Cricetulus griseus: one gene and its partner. The protein of the gene in region 2 interacts with the protein of the main gene of each other region in a pairwise test. Links are inferred from orthologs where the notes say so. Each region holds a gene or a part of one and is shown on either strand. Other genes may lie near its edges.

Region 1 (8,015 bases), on a different chromosome or scaffold from region 2:
CCTCCATATATTTTCTCTTTGCTTAGTGTATTCCTTAGGTAATAACTTGGTTTTCTGTTAAATTCTGTCTTCAGGCAGACAGCCAAGTGGACCTGGTTCGGCAGCATTTCTATGAAGTGTCTCTGGAGTATGTCTTTAAGGTGCAGGAAGTCCAAGAGAGAAAGATGTTTGAGTTTGTGGAGCCCGTGAGTAGCTGTTTCCTTTCATCTGAACTACCCAGCACATAATAGTGATAATTCTGCCACCACACAGGAGGACGCTGAGCAGCTGCAGTCCATGGCTGTGCCTTCTTTTAAGCAGGGAAAGCCCCATTACTTTGGTTCCCTGGACTCCTCCTAACATGGGAACTGTTCTGTTGTTAGACAACCAATGGTGGAGATAGTACAGTCAGCATCAGCTCCTGTCTCTTGCCGTCTGCTATTACCCTTTTTGATCTGCAAAGGGAAAGTGTTAAGTGGGATTCAGGGGGGAACAACTCCCTTCCATCTTGCTAGGAAATGGTCACAGTCTAGTAGTTCTGCTTTGCCCCACTCTTCCATCAATCCAGACGGAGGAGTAATTCTAGGAAGCAGTGGAGCATGCACTGTTCTCATTCTGTGCTTGGCTTCAGAGCCCCTCTGCTCCAGTCATCTTCTATGGGAGGTTCTTACATAAGGTGATTTCTCACAGTAGATTTGTCACAGGCAGAGTGGCACAGAGATTCTGCCGAGGGGACCATGATGGAATCTAGACTTGGCCAGTGTTCCACTGGGTGTGAAAGAGTGCCATGTGGGAAAAAGTCTGACCTGATGGTTGTACTACTCCACCTCCTGTGGCACCTGAGCATGGACTCTAAGTTAGGATGACTTTATGGAGACATGAGGGTTGGGAAAGAGATAGGGAAGGGACAGGAGAGGAGTTGCGGGGGAGTTTGATCTTTCAGTAGATATATTTAGCAAATAAAATATCACACCTATTAGTTTGGGTTGAATAACAACCACAAAACCCTCACACACAATAGATGTTTACTTCTCACATGTCTGTCAGGTAAGCTTGTCTTGGCTCATTTGGTTCTTCTCTCTCTTGCCCTTCCTCCTCCTCCCTTCATTACCATCATTATATTTTTCTTAATAAATTTACCGAGGTAATTGAAGCTCTGCTACTTACTAGATGAGACCTTCCACGAGGTTATATCTAAGTGTTTCTATTTCTTCATTTGAAAATGGGATAAAGCCAATATATACCCCCAGATGTTTTAATAATTGAATCATATAATGAAGGTAAAGAAGTAAAAGCATGCACTTATTTCTTGCTGTCCTTTTGTACAATGTAGTTTCAACAGTACTGGGCAGTAGAATCTCCCCAGGGCTCACTGAAATGCAGATTACAGGCCCTGTTCTTAGTGTCAGGATTGGGATAGAACAGGGCGAGTTCTTCAAAATTCCTGCTTTACAGAAAGTTTGTCCCAAACATTGCAGAAGAACCTTGGGTTACTGTCCAGGCAACCAGCTGTTTCTGTCATTTCACACATTTTTTTGGAAGTCTCTTGCTCGCACTTCCTGTTTACTCAGTTGATATTATTTTCTTCTTGATTCTGTGAGGCAGTTGAAGACTAGATAGTATAGTTATAATTTTCCTTGTTTACCAGACTCAGAAAAGAAACTCACTAAGGAAATGTAAAGTATAAAAGTTTGAGAGACATTAAAAGATAATTTGATAATGCGAATTAGAATAGAAAGTTAAATTAGGTACCAGACTTTGGACTCACCAAGCTAGGATAGATAACGGAGTATTTTCTCTTAATTTGTCAAATGCAAATGTACTAGACATTGTTTATATACTTTTTACCTGTATATATTATATATAGTTATTGTACATAGTTTTCTTAGGTTAGTTGTAGCCTTCCTTTTTGTATTAGACAAAAAGGGGAATTGTGGTGATATATTGTTTATGATTTAATAAAGTTTGCCTGGGGATCAGAGTGCAAAGCTAGCCACACTAGTTAACCATAGATGCCAGGCAGTGGTGGTACTCACCTTTAATCCCAGGACGCAGGAGACAGAGGCAGAGGGATCTCTGTGAGTCCAAGACTACCCTGGGCTACACGAGAGTGAATCAGTCTAAAAGAGTAAAAACTCACACTTTTAATCCCAGCACTAGAGAGGTATATAAGGAAGAAGCAAAGGTTCTCATGTGAGATTCATTTTCTAGTCACAGGGAAGACAGGGTCTCCATTTCAGCCTTGGCAGAGATAACAGCTACTGGCTGGATGCTTTTCTTTTCTGATCTTCAACTTGAACCTCCAAAATCTGTCTCTAGATTTTTATTACTTGTGCCACACCTGCCCCCCAAAGTCTGTCTTTGAGGTCCTAACCTGAAGTTTAGGTTTAATAAGTAGGTAAGAGGTATGGCTAAGTATTCCTGGTCAAGGTGCCATCCTGCCTATAACTGTTTCAGCTCTAGTCTGTCCTGCAAGGTGATTGGGTGGGTTGTCAAACTGTGAAATCTCTTCTCAAATAACATCTTTGTCCTCAGGCCAGCCCTAGGCTGCAGAGACACCCCTTCCTTCTCCTAGTGTGAGATCCCTGCAGGGGTACAAGTGACTCTTCTTAAAATATACTCATTCCTGCCATTTTGTTTACACCAGTACAAAGTCCTTTGATAGGCTGGGCTGGGCATGTGGTTTATCCTGTTGGTAGCATCCCTACTCTGGCGCTAATCATTTCCTGCCAGAAGCAGGTACAAACTACAGGGAGAAATCCCTTCACAGGCTCCAGTAGACCTGCCTCTCTGAAAAGTGGAGTGGGTGAATATAAGTACAGATGTGTTCGTGGAGGGGCTGAAAAGCTAACCACAGCAGCAGAAAGGAAAATAGATGCATTTCTGACTAACAGGTGGTGATGGGATCTGGAGGTTAGAGTGGACCACTTAGCAAACAACTGTGATCTCACAGAGTGAAGGTTCTTCCCAGATTTCTTCTATATTTTACCACAGCTCCTTTTTCATGTCAAAGCTGTGAATGCAGGCAATCTGGGGAGGTCTTGGCAAGTGGCTGGGATATTCATGTCAAAAATGTCAGCTTTGTAAAGAAGTACAATGGAATGTTGTTGGTGAGGTGTAGGGTAGTTGTTGAGAATCTGAGTTTTGGGATAAACTGTGGTGAGCAGGTGTTTTTATTTTTTTTCCCCATTTTGTGTAACAGAGACTAGATCATGAATACACTTACCTATTAGCCTTAGAGGATTTAAAGAGAGTCAAGGGACTTAGCACAATTGAAGCCAGGGAAGTGTGTGGTTGCTTGATAAAGGGATTTTTATTGTTTACTGTGGGAAAGTTGAAGAAAGCACAGAAGTGCCCCTTGGTGGAAGTCTATTCTGGGTGGCTTTCTGTGATTTGACTTCGCTGGTTAGATTACAGGTTCAGAGCTCGCCAGCTTCCTTAACACATTCTGAGTCATGTGACAACCTGATGTTATTAATGTTCAGCAGCTGAGGTGCAGCTTCAGCCAGTAGTTCTGAAAAGGTGATGTTCTTAGGCAATGGTAAGCATTGGTGCCAAGGAGAACAGGTTTCAAATCCTGGCTGTTAATCATCGTGAAGTAAGGGGCAAGTTACTTAGCCTCCAAAGGTGCCTCCTCCTTATTTAAGAGTGTCCTATTAGCACTTAAGTCATAGGTGATGTGATACAGGGCATGGAGGACACAGCATCCCACACACAGAGCTGCTCAGTGTATGTTAGTGTCATTACTACCTGTTCCATGCTTCCCAGACAGCGTTAGAAACCCAGATCCTGCTCCTTCTGTTCTCTTCTCAGTCGGCCTTTGTGACCTCTGCCCTTTTTCCCTCTTCACAGCTCCTGGCCTTCCTGCAAGGACTCTTCACTTTCTATCACCATGGTTATGAGCTGGCCAAGGACTTTGGTGACTTTAAGACACAGTTGACCATCAGCATACAAAATGTGAGTGGGGGCAGAGACCAGAGAGGGAAACAGGAGAGGGTGTGTTTGCTCCAGAGTTCCCCTCAAGCATTGGAATGAGGTGTGTGGGGTGGGTTCCTGGCTGGGTTCAGAGGAGGACAGCGGGAATCTGACATTTCTAGAATGTAAGATGGCCCAGGTCTGAGCACCATTTCTGTTCCTGGAAGTGTTGCTGCTGGTATTGTGTGTTTTTCACAGCAGCGTCAGAATTTCCCTTGACAGTGGAAATCCCAACTTAGCCCAGACTAGTTGCCTTCTGTGCAAGCAGCTGCCTGGTCACCTGAGGCCTTACATGAGTGTCCAGGGGTGAAAACTCAAATGGTATACTCTTGCCAGGCAAGACTGACAGGACATGTGAGTCAGTGCCATCCAAATGCTGCTGCCTCTGTTGCTTAAATCTGGAACCTTTGGGTGTGCAGAGTTGTTTAGGGTATTTGGGGCATAAGTCATAAGGCAAGCTCTCCTCTTACTTTGGAATTGGCCACAAGTCCCAAGGTACTCCTAGATCAGGCATTTCTGCATGGCTTGTCCTTCATGGCCTCAGAAGTTTGGAACTTACTTGGTGGTTCTTTGTTGACTTGGAGAACAGGAAGTTGAGGAATATGTCAGAAATGGTTTTAGAAAACATATATATATATATATATATATATATATATATATATATATATATGCCTCAGGGGTTCTGAGTGGGCCTGAATAGAAGCCAGGGGTTTCTGACTGCTCTGGGTGAGAGAATGACCTAGAAAGCCAGCAGCACCCCCCTTTTAGGAGGGTGCCACCTGTGAGCCATGAGCAAGCTACATTTCTTCCAACTGGAGTGGTGAGGACCATAATCCTAAAGGAGTGCAAGCAGTTACTCTAGTCTGTAACTCTTATTTAAGCACCCTCTCCTGGCCCAACAATCTCCACTCACTCTTGAGGAGTGAGGCTGGGTGTTCACATGCTTCCTGGATGATCTTGGTGGTTTCTTGAGTTTGATTCATTCAGATATGGGACTGTAAGGCAAATATGTACTTTTACAAGTGAATACTTGCCCATTTCCTAGACCACTGAATGCCCCTTATTTGCTTTTATATCTAAGGTTTCTGTTTAGGCTGATCTTATGAATTATTAAGAGATTTCATTTTTTTTTTCTGCATTTGATTGATTGAGCAAAACTCCTTTCATTCCAGACAAGAAACCGCTTCGAAGGAACCAGGTCTGAAGTGGAATCGCTGATGAAGAAGATGAAGGAAAACCCCCTTGAGCACAAGACCATCAGCCCCTACACCATGGAAGGGTACCTCTATGTGCAGGAGAAACGTAAGTGCTCGGACTGTCAGGGTGGGGGGCACTCACAGCCTTGGGCAGATGTTGTTTCTGGAGGTCCCTGCAGATCTGTGTCCACAGTCTTTTCACCTCCAAGTGCTTTGTTCTGTTTCCTTTGTGCTAGGGTTTTTCTTCAATGCTACATTTCCCTATGGCTCTGTAGGAGGTAGTTCCTTTCTTCTTAATGTCCCCTCCTTTTGAACCTTGATGTCTTAGTGTGCTTGTGCACTCCACCCCAACCACATGGGCATTGGGAAGGTCCTGCATACCACACCTTATTGAATGCCCTAGTATTTGGTGATTCTACTTTCAGTTGAGAGCAATCATGGCTTGGGCCCTTTTCCTTTGCTTCTCAACTTCTGCCATCCCAATACTTGGATTTTTATGGAAAGTCAAAAAATAGGTGAGAGTTAGGAAGAAGGCCCATCATCTCCTTGCAATGCATTCAAGGGAAGAAACACCAGGGGCTGCTACTTGAATGCAGTTTTTAGGGAGGACTCACAGTTCATACCATAAAGGCCTTGGAGAAGGCTTAGAGGATATGCCTTAGGGTAGCACCTCCAGGTGCTAGGAATAAGATAGTGAAAGCTTTCTCCTTTAATAGTTGTTCCATTAGCTGGCAGCCTGTCCCATCCTCCTCAGCAGGATCTTGCTAAGTAGTCTAGACTGACCTTGAACTCATGATCATCCTGAATTTTCCTTCTGAGTTCTAGAGTCGCACACCTGTATGCTGCCTTGCACACCTTTTGCCTCTATGCTTTCTTAGCAGGATGACTCCTGATTTGTGCTGGTTTTGTGTTCCTCTCTGTGGTCCTCTTTGGCAGTGACTTCACTCCTGCAAGCTCCTGGTAGAGCAGGAGAGAAACACTTTGTTTTAGTGGTTATGTACTTAGTGCTAATGCTCACATATAATTGCCTAGGCTTAAAAGTGTTCTCTTCTGACAGTAGGGACTGAAGTGGGGTTGGAATTATTGGCTGCGGTAAGGGTTTTATACCCCTATTCTTTGAGGAATGAGCTTGAGGGGGTTTATAGGAAGCAGAAGCCTCTTCATTTGTGTATTTCATTCCCTGAGTATGGAGGGATGCTCTCCTTGCCATGTGTGCGGATTCCCTCAGCCCATCCCACTGCCCATGGTTGGAGGTAACGTAGAGAAACAAACTCTCAGGAAAGTAAGGATAGATGTCACAGTGCCCCTGTAATACAAAGGCTGTTGTTATTCTTCACCTGTGTGTGGACTCATTTTTGCTCTCTCATACTCACATTATATTACACAGTTCCAATCAATCAAACATTTCACATGCTCTTGACATGAATATGTTGCTTTTTGTTACAACTACTTTTTGCTTTTCTAGCACACCACTTATGAGCATTTCCTTAGGATACAGTATAGTGTTGGAACTTACTATTTTTAATAATTTCAAGCTTACAAGGAAGTTGCAAGAATGCTATAAAGAAAACATGAATTGACCGGGCGTTGGTGGCGCATGCCTTTAATCCCAGCACTCAGGAGGCAGAGGCAGGTGGATTTCTCTGAGTTCGAGGTCAGCCTGGTCTCCAGAGCCAGTGCCAGGATAGGCTCCAATGCTACACAGAGAAACCCTGTCTCGAAAAACCAAAGAGAGAGAAGAGAGAGAGAGAGAGAGAGAGAGAGAGAGAGAGAGAGAGAGAGAGAGAGAGAGAGAGCATGAATTTACCCAGATCCACAGTTTCTCAATGCTTTACTCTAGTCACTCTTTCTTTTTTCTGTGTATGGCTGTGGATATGTGCACTACTCTCATGAACATTCATTCTCCTGAGCTGTTCTGTTCTAATGCCCACCAGTCCCCTATTGTCTTCATTTCCACCATTCAATCAAGAAATTGTATTGTCTCTTCACTGTATGGTCACTGTTTTCCGTTAACTAACTAGTGTTCTGAGGAAGTCACCTTATAATTATGTAAATAGCTTTCTGCTTGCTATGTTTCTGTCCATAGAGTTGTGACCTATTGATCCTTGCCTAGACTGATGGAGATTTCCCACTTTCATTACTTCTTTCTACCCACCCTTGTCTATCCATCTGCCCACTTGTCAGACCATTTGTCTGTCCCTGTCTTTCCATTGTCAATAAAACCTTAAGGTTAACATTTCACTCACAGGCTATAATCTATTACTTTATATACCTTGATGTCCTCATCGTCTAAGACAAAGCACTTGTGGAGTCCTTGTGTTGTGTAGTCACTGGAATGTTCCCCAGGCCCTGAGAATGTTTGGTACTTTTCAAATTGCCTTTAATGACTAATGTATTGCTGTGTGACATGTGCCTGTGTGACAGAGAGAGAGAGAGAGACAGAGAAAGGGGTGAGAGAGAATGCACATGTATATATGTGTGTGTGGTGTATATATGTGTGCCTGTACATGTGGTGGCCCGAAATTAACCTCAGGTGTTATTCCTTAGGTGATATTCACCTTGTTTTTTTTTGGAACAGGTTTCTCATTGGCCTGAAGTTCACTGAGTAGGTTAGGCAGACTAGACAACAAGCCCCAAGGCTCTGCCTGTCTTCCCCTCTCCACCTGTGCACCAATAAACCTGTTTTTAAAAATTAAATCTTAATTAATTAATTAATTAATTTTTATGTGGGTTTCGAGGGCCTGACTCAGGTCCTCGAGCTTATAGAGCTTTATTAACCAAGCTGTCTCTGTAGCCCCTGTGTTGCTTTTCAGATTATTAAATGATATCTATACTTATATTTGGCAATCATTCCAAACCATTAAT
Region 2 (8,546 bases):
CCACATAGCTCCTGGCAGAGTACACTTCTAGCATGAGAAACAAATTGAAACAAGCGGGAAGTATCAAAAACAGTTTGGATTTCTACAAGACACTACACAGAGAGGCAAGCAAAATGTGGAAACATAGTCAGAAGGATGCCATTAATTTTTTAGCTTTATTTATGTATATGAGTACTTTGACTGTAAATATGTAAGTGCACCATATACATGGCTGGTGTCTACATAGAGGTCAGAGGCGAGCATCAAATGCCCTAGAACTGGAGTTAACAGTGGGTTGTGAGCCACCACGTGGGTGCTGGGAACCCAACCTCTGCAAAAGCAACAAGTGTTTTAATCACTGAGCCATCTCTCTAGGCCTGAGAGGGTACCATTTATTAAAAGCATTGACTAACCAATGCTCCTGCCATCCATACTCCATATATGCCAGCCTGTATAGGATCCTATCTTAACATGAGGAATGAGAAAGAAACAGGAAGTGTGTGGTCACTGGTTTGGAAGGAAAGGTGTTCCCAGCAGGTGATCTATAATATACGTGTGTGTGACAGGGTGTTGGCCTAAATGCTGGTGATGTTATAATTTCAGGCTGACTTCTCTCTTGTTTAGACATTTTTGAGGGGGGACTGAGTCTCACCTTGACTGGCCTGGGACTCAGAGATTTGTCTATATCTGTCTTCTGGGTGCTGGAATTGAGGGTGAATGCCACTATGCCCAGATTCTTAAAAAAATAAAAGGATACGGTGGAAGACACTGAAGAGATGGCGTAGTGGTTAAGAACATTTACTGTTCTTCCAGCACCCACATGGCAGCTCACAACCACAAGTAACCATGGATCTGATGCTCTCTTCCGGCTTCCGCAGGTATCATGCATAAAGGAACATGCAAACATATATAGGCAAAACACTTATACACATAAAATAAGAAATTAAAAAAAAAAAAAAGCAGGGCAGGCCGGGCAGTGGTGGCATACGACTTAATCTCAGCACTAGGGAGGCAGAGGCAGGTGAATCTCTGAGTTGTTCTACAGAGACAATTCCAGGATGGCCAGGTCTACACAGAGAAACCCTGTCTCAAAGAACTAATAATAATAATAATAATAATAATAATATAATGGATGATTCACAAATTTGAGTGTCATCCTTGCACAGGACCTACACTAACCATCTCTGTATTGTTCTGATTTAATGTATGTGCTGTTACAGTGAGCACTTGTTCAGTTTTATATAAATGTAGTTTTCTTTTTTGAGGTGCTGTCTAAAAACACAAAACAAATAAATAAAAATCCAAAAAACTACACTCCAGCTATCAGTTTCTTAATAAGCATGTATTGTTTATGTAGTCAGGGGAAAAAAAGCAAAACTGTTTTTAAGGTGGAAAAAATACCCTGTGAATGGGGGTCATGCTGGTTCAACGAAGAAGGAAGCAGAAGTGGAGCCCATATACCCTCCAGTCCCTTGGTGGGGGTTGGTGTGTGGAGGGCCTGGCTGGCCCCCTACAATCTCAGCTGACTCCATGTTCAGAACCCAGTACAAAAGGCAAGGAAACTTATCCAAGCTCAGATCACAGCCAGGGGCAGGGCCAGCGTTGAAGCCAGATGAGCCCATTTTCCTACATGAAGCCTCCTCTAGACTAGCCCATACCTGAGTAAATGAGACATCCCCCATTTCCTCTGCCTCAGTCTCCATCCTGGGTAGGCTAAGGGTAATCAGGAAGGGCAGGAAGGAGGCAGAAGGATGCAGGCAGGGCACAGTCCTAAGTGACACCATCCCACACAGGCCCTTGTTCAGGAAACCCCACCCCAAGGCCGGACACCCTAGGCCAGTCATGGTGAACCATGGAGGCTGGACATCCCTAGCCTCCAGAGCACCTGTAGCCAACAGGAAACAAAGGAATGATTCCAGCTAATTCTAGCGGAGCTGTGGGAAAAAAAAATGCACCCTAAATCTTACAATCCCATCACTGATTTATGCTGTGAGAGAGAGCTGGGATGATTGGTGAGATCTGCCTATAGCCCGGGCCAGGTCCTTCCCCCATCCTCACTCCATCACACTAGAGCTCCAAGACAGCTTGGGTGTTTCCACAGCAAATTGGGCGTCCCTGACAGCTGTCTCACTCTGAGCCAGATGTACCCACCCAAATCCAGATGTGAGGAGAACAGAGGCTAAAAGGAAGGGTGGGGCCAGTATCAACCACCCAGGAGAAAGCTGGGAATAACAACCAGCAATCCTAAATAGAAGATCTAGAAACCACAGATCAGAGGCTCCAGCCTGCCATGGGGGTTCCTTACACATTAACTCTCTAAGCCACGTTGGGGTGGGTGCCATTACTGTCCTAAATAGCCACCAGAGTGTAACCTCAGAGATATTAAGGAGCTTCATCAGGGTCATCCAGCTAGTAAGAAAAGGCACCTGGTACCAAGGCTAGCCACGTGGCTTCCAGGCAGTGGACCATACCATGGTGCTATGGATGGGAAACAGAAGAGGCATTAGCAAGTCTCCAGGCTTCCTCTATGTAGTCACATCCCTTGGCTGCCACTTCCCCAACTTGCAAGTGTTCAGAGCTACAAGAATGAGCTCTGATTAGATCAAGGCTGCCAGGAGGAGCTTCCTCCAGCAATGGGGAGGAGCAGATGGAGGCCATCCCAGCTCTGTGGGTTGCCCTGGACAGCAATACTGAGCCTCCCTCAGAGAAAATGACTTCCTGGAGGCAGATCCCTTCTGGTCATGGAGAATATTTAGCCCTGCTCACTCTGGATGTTCATGGAAATTCCCCTCCTTCCATACATACTTCAAAACTAATGGCTTTTTATCTTTTGTCACAGGATCTCACTATGTAGACCAGGTTGGCCTTAAACTCACAGACATCTGCCTACTTCCATCTCCCAAGTACTGGAATTAAAAGTGTACCACCTGAAGCTGGGCAGTGGTGGCGCACACCTTTAATCCCAGTGCTAGCAAGGCAGAGGCAGGCAAATCTCTGTGAGTTCAAGGCCAGCCTGGTGTACAAAGTGAGTTCCAGGACAGCCAAGGCTGCTACACAGAGAAACCCTATCTCAAAAAACCAAAAATAAAAGTGTGCCACCTGGCCTGGCAGGATAATGTCTTTAATCTTAGCACTTGGGAGGCAGAGGCAGGGACAGGTAGATCCATGCAGACCAGCTTGGTTTGCATAGTGAGTTCCAGGACAGCCAGGGCTACATAGTGAGTCCCTGTTGAACATCCAAGTCTCAAAAAAAAAAAAAAAAAAAAAAAAGAAAAAAGAAAAGAAAAGAAAGGTATGCTACCATGCCCAGCTCTAGGTGTGATTTTTGCCCTTTCTCTTAAATGCTTACTAAAAAGGGGTTTTTGTTTGTTTTTTCGACAGGATTTCTCCATGTAACCAGTTGTCCTGACAGTCCTGGCTGATAGTCACTCTGTAGAACAGGACAGTAGAACTTAGAAATCTGCCTTCCTCTAAGAACTAAAAAAACTGCCTCTAAAAAACAAGCAAACAAAAATTTAAAAAGTTTTATTTATTGTTATTGTGTGAGTATGCATGGTGTGTGTGTGTGTGTGTGTGTGTGTGTGTGTGTGTGTGTGTGTGTACACGCGCGTGTGCACGAGCACACACGCTCATGCACAAGCTAGTATGTACTATGGCATGCGTGTGGAGGTCAGAGGGCAACTTTGGGGAGCCGGTTATTTCCTTGCATCGTTACAGGTTTTGGGGATAGAACTCATCTCCAAGCTTGCTCAGCAAGCGACTTCTGTTGAGACATCTTGCCAGTCCAAAAGGAATGGTTTGGAATCTAGTTCCACCTGGGACTCTAATGCACCTTTCCTCTCTGGAACTGGGCTCACCGTCCCCATCTTTAAAATGGGCTGACCCATTGCGATACTGGAAACAAGAGGCTCTGTATAAATAGATGTGTATGTGGACAGCCACTATCAAAGGATATTTAGCAAATATCTGCAGGGGCTTTCTCAAACCCTTCAGCTCTCCTTGGTTGCAAGAAAAACGAAAATTGAACCCTTCTTAGTCCCCAGGTATGGGTCTCCTCTTGGCCACCTCCTCTTGGTCTCCTCCAGGGCCATCTCAGAATCTGGTTCTCCTGCAGCAGACCACCTCCCTGGGTCCCAGTGCAGAGAAGCGCTAGGATCCGTGGTCGCTAGGTGGCGCGAGCGCCCCCGCTATCACCCAGCGTTTTAGGGTCCCACCGAGCACACCGGCTCCAGGCAGACGCCCACCGAGGAGCTGCGCGCTCAAGTTCCCGAGGTGTATCACCCACAGGGCCTTTTTCTCTGGGTTGCACAATCAGACCACGGTGAGGGCTGAATTGCGAGGATCGGGGACCTTGTCCGGGTCCCCAAGCTCTGGGAGGAGCCTTGTCTGAGCTTCCCGGCCTGGGCGAGGTCTCAGTGTCTGTTTGGCGCACCGCCAGGTTTCGGACGTACAGGCCCCCGCCCTCCCGCCGAGTCCGGCTGCTCAGCCCTGACTCGTGTTCCCGCGCGGACCCCTCCAGTTCCCCAGCCAAGAGCTGCCCAGCGCGGCCCGGATCCGTTTCAGTAACACTGCAGCTAAAGATAGGAGGACACCTCACCATTCGCTAAAAATACGGCCTCCAGCCCAGGCGGGGACGCGGGCCAAGGAGAAGATGCTCCCTGGTCCCGGAGTTTCAGCAGAGAACACTGTATGCAGCCCGGAGCTACGAAACTGACAGCACAGCGCCCTGGGCGCTGTGGGAGGTCATGGGTACCGGGGCGGGGACCCCGGCGCCTGCTAAGGGGTCTCTGGTCTGGGCCGGGACCGAGCGCCACCCTGGATGGGACTCTACAAGAAGCCACCAGAGGCCTGAAAAACCTCAGCCCAAACTCACCTTGAGGAGCGCGGGCAAGGCTGCAGAGCTGCGCGGCTGGGGTAGAGCGCCAGGGAGGACCTGGGAACTTACAGCGCGGACCTCGGGCCTTAAGCCCCACCCCCAGCGCCCGAGGCCAATCCCGGGCCGCTCCTCTCCAGTCCCCTCCCACACATCTCCTCCCACCGCGGCACCGCCCAGGTTCTCAGTTCTGCAGACTCCGCTGCAAGATTCCAGAGCCTCAGCCTTCAGCAGCTCAGGGCACTCGCCAAGAGTAGCAGTGGTGGATTTGAGGACTCCAGCTGTGCATGTTGGAGTTAAAACTTTAGGCTAGAAGAAGCGCTGGGCCAGCAAAGGCCGGAAGAGCGAATTCTTGAGAAATCTCTTGAGCGTCCTTGGATGGGTTTCCTTGTCGGAAGGACTCTTGAGACCCGGGAGGCGTCCGCACTAGTGTATTCTGTGACTCTACGGGAATGAATTGGGCTTTGCAAGTGTCTTACAAACTTAGGAACACTTTTAAGAGTTTGCTCTAAACTAGGAGAGACAGAGTGATGGAAAGAGGGAGAGAGAAAGTTCGGGGAGAGGGCGGCGCAGAGAAAAACAGAAACACCGAGACAGACCGAGAAAGACCTAGAGAGACTGGGCATGCCTGTGTTTGCTGTCCTGCTAGGTGATTATCAGGTGGGCTTGAGCTAGTACAGAGATTCGTTCATTCATACAGGGACACGGGATCAGAAACAGTTATTAAAGGGCAGGTCCTAAAGTTGCTGAGGTAGACCGAGGGGAACTTGTCATTGCTCCGTTTTTGTAAGTAAGTGGAGTAATTTGTTGAATGTCTACTTGTGGTTAGGGAGGGGTCGGGACTCAAGAAAGTCAAGGTCCCAGGCACAAGATGATACCCTTTCAGGTGGATAAGTGCTAAAAAAAGGAGTGAGGTAAAAGAAAAGGTGGACAGTTCTGGGAAGAAAGGAGCCAGAATGCTTGGCTTCCAGATAGCAAACGGAGAAAGGGGGTGTGTATGTGAGGGAAGGATGCTGGGGTGGGGGAATGTGTCAGCTAAGCCAGGGGGGAGGGGAGAATGGGAAGGACTATGAGTCACGCTTCCCTAAAGATGTCCATGTTCTGGGCTAGGAAATACAGTTCTGAGGAGCTCCCTGAGTTTCCCCGTATGTTAATCCCTCTGTCTAATCCCCAGCCACACTTGCATGTATGCATATGTATGTGTGTACACGTACACACACACACCTAGATCAAGATCTCCACATTGTAACCTCTGGAACCTATGACCGCTTGTTATGTGGGAAGGGAGAATTTCAATTACCCGGGGAACTATGATAAGCAGAACTCCTGGGCTCAAGCAGTCCTCCATCCTCAATCTCCCAAAGAGTGGGGACTATATATGTAAATCACCACGCCCTGCTCAATTGACATTAGAACAGAGATTATCCTGGGCTAGGCATATACTTTATTTAGTTCATAGAGTGTTTTAAGTAGCATGTATGAGGCCCTGGGTTCCTTCCTCAGCACTGCATAGACAGGATGGATGGTACAAGTCTGTGATCCCAGCACTCAGAAGGTGGAAGCAGGAACATCAGGAATTCAAGGTTATTCTCCCCAGCCATAAAGTTAATTCAAGTCCAAAAATAAAAGAGGATCATTATGAGTTAGGACTCGGTAGCTAAGGGTGCTTGCTGTCATGCCTTACAACCTGAGTTTGATTTCTGGGGCATTCATAGCAGAAGGAGAGAACTAACTTTTAAATGTTGTTTTCTGACCTCCATGTCCAGCTTCAGCAGACATGCATGCCCACCACGTCCACAAAAATCAGTGTAATTTATTTTTTGAGTCAGAGTCTCACTATGTGTCTCTGGCTAGCATGGAGCTCACTATGTAGAGCAAGCCTGTGTCAAACTCACAGAGATCCACCTGCCTCTGTCTCCTGAGTGCTGGGGCCAAAGGAGTGAGCCACCACTGCTCAGCTCTGCTGTCAATTATTAAAGAAATAAAGATTGTCCTCAATGGGACAAGTTTAATTGCAAGGGCCCTTAAAAATAGAAAAGACAAAAGAATGAAAGAAGGTCCACAAGCTAGGCCTAGCAGCACATGCCTGCCATCTCAGTGCTAGAGAGCGGGGGAAGCAGAGGCAGAGTTTAAGAGCAGCCTGGTCTACAGTGAATTACACGCCAGCCTGGGCTGCATAGTGAGACCCTGTGTCAAATACAAGAAAAATGTGGGGGGGGAGGGGCAGGTAACAATGAAATAGTTCAGCTTCTGATCCTCCTGCTTCCACCTTCTAAGTGATGGGATCACAGATCCCACAGATCTGTCCTGTCTATGCAGTGCTGAGGACAGAACCCAGGGCCTTACATATGCTACCTAAGCACTCATGAACTAAAGTGCATTATCCCTAAGCCTGATGACCTGGGTGGAAGGAAAGAACCCATTCCCACCTCTACACATATCAATAAATAATTCTTTTTTTAAAATGAAAGGAAGGAAAGGGCAAGCCAGAAAGATACTATGGTGCTATTCTTAGAGGTGAAAGGAAGGCCACAAGCCAAGGAACTCTGAACGCCCCAATAGCTGGAGAGGACAAGAGCAAACAGACTCTCCTGAAGCTTCCAGAACATCTGTGCTAATTCCTTGACTTTAACATCACAGGGCTTCTAACCACACAACATGGTAATGAATTTGTGTGATTTTTAAATTATGTGTATATGTCTGCCCCTGTGTGGGGATGTGTATAGGTGGCCTCCTGGGTGTTTATAGGTTTGTGAATTGCCAGGAACCATGACCAGATGGCTTGAGCAGCCCAGTATTTATTTATTTATTTATTTATTTATTTATTCATTCATTTATTTTGGTTTTTCAAGACAGGGTTTCTCTGCATTGGTTTGGAGGCTGTCCTGGCACTCGCTCTGGAGACCAGGCTGGCCTCGAACTCAAAGCGATCCGCCTGCCTCTGCCTCCCAAGTGCTGGGATTAAAGGCATGCACCACCAACGCCCGGCAAGTTTTTATTCTTTTAAACCACCAACCTTGTGTTAATTTGTTCCAGTATCATTGGGAAATGAGTAAAAAGGAAGGTTTAGAATTTTAACTTTTTTTGCTGTTTCTTGAGACGGTGTCTTTCTTTTTTTCTTTTTCTTTTTCTTTTTTTTTTTTTTTTTTCCTGAGACAAGGTTCTCTGTGTAGCAGCTCTAGCTGTCCTGGAACTAGCCCTGTAGTCCAGACTAGCCTTGAACTCACACAGATCCTCCAGCCTTTGACTTGGCGTTTGACACCACTGCCTGATGAGATAGCCTCTTAATATATGGCCCTGATTAGCTTGAAACTCTCTACATAGACCAGGCTAGCCTCAAACTCAGAGAGATCCTCCTTGCCTCTGCCTCCCTAGTGCTGGCTTTGAAGGTGTGTACTACCATACCTGGCAGGATTTAATCTCCAGCTGGCTGTACTCCTTGCTCAGTGCCCCTGGACAGGTCAGGACTGACCTGCGTGGCTTAGAGGAAAACAGGACAGTCCTGGAAAGGAACCTGGGCCACACTGTCATATGAGTTGAGGGCTGTACTTTGAGTATGTACCCCAAAAGGCCATTTGTTGGCGATTTACTCCCCACAGCAACAGTGTTGGGAGGTGGCACATTCTGGAGGCTATTTGGGTCAGAGGGCTCTAAGCCCACAAAAGGATTGGTGCCAACTATGGAAGGGTTGAAG

The links. The genes of interacting proteins can lie anywhere in the genome.
Region 1: the proteins of Cdc42ep2 (region 2) and Arhgap26 interact in binary tests that used the Homo sapiens proteins (3 or more experiments, as listed by UniProt). The two-hybrid records come from large-scale screens. The link is inferred for Cricetulus griseus from reciprocal best matches to the Homo sapiens genes CDC42EP2 and ARHGAP26.

The regions. Positions count from the first base shown.
Region 1 is NC_048595.1:198,519,826-198,527,840, reverse strand, and holds part of Arhgap26 (rho GTPase-activating protein 26), read left to right. Parts: intron 1-74; coding exon 75-185; intron 186-3,831; coding exon 3,832-3,936; intron 3,937-5,126; coding exon 5,127-5,256; intron 5,257-8,015. UniProt on the Homo sapiens protein: GTPase-activating protein for RHOA and CDC42. Facilitates mitochondrial quality control by promoting Parkin-mediated recruitment of autophagosomes to damaged mitochondria.
Region 2 is NC_048596.1:53,417,268-53,425,813, reverse strand, and holds the start of Cdc42ep2 (cdc42 effector protein 2), read right to left. Parts: upstream 4,972-8,546; 5' UTR 4,853-4,971; intron 1,207-4,852; exon of another isoform or gene 1,101-1,206; intron 1-1,100. UniProt on the Homo sapiens protein: Probably involved in the organization of the actin cytoskeleton. May act downstream of CDC42 to induce actin filament assembly leading to cell shape changes. Induces pseudopodia formation in fibroblasts in a CDC42-dependent manner.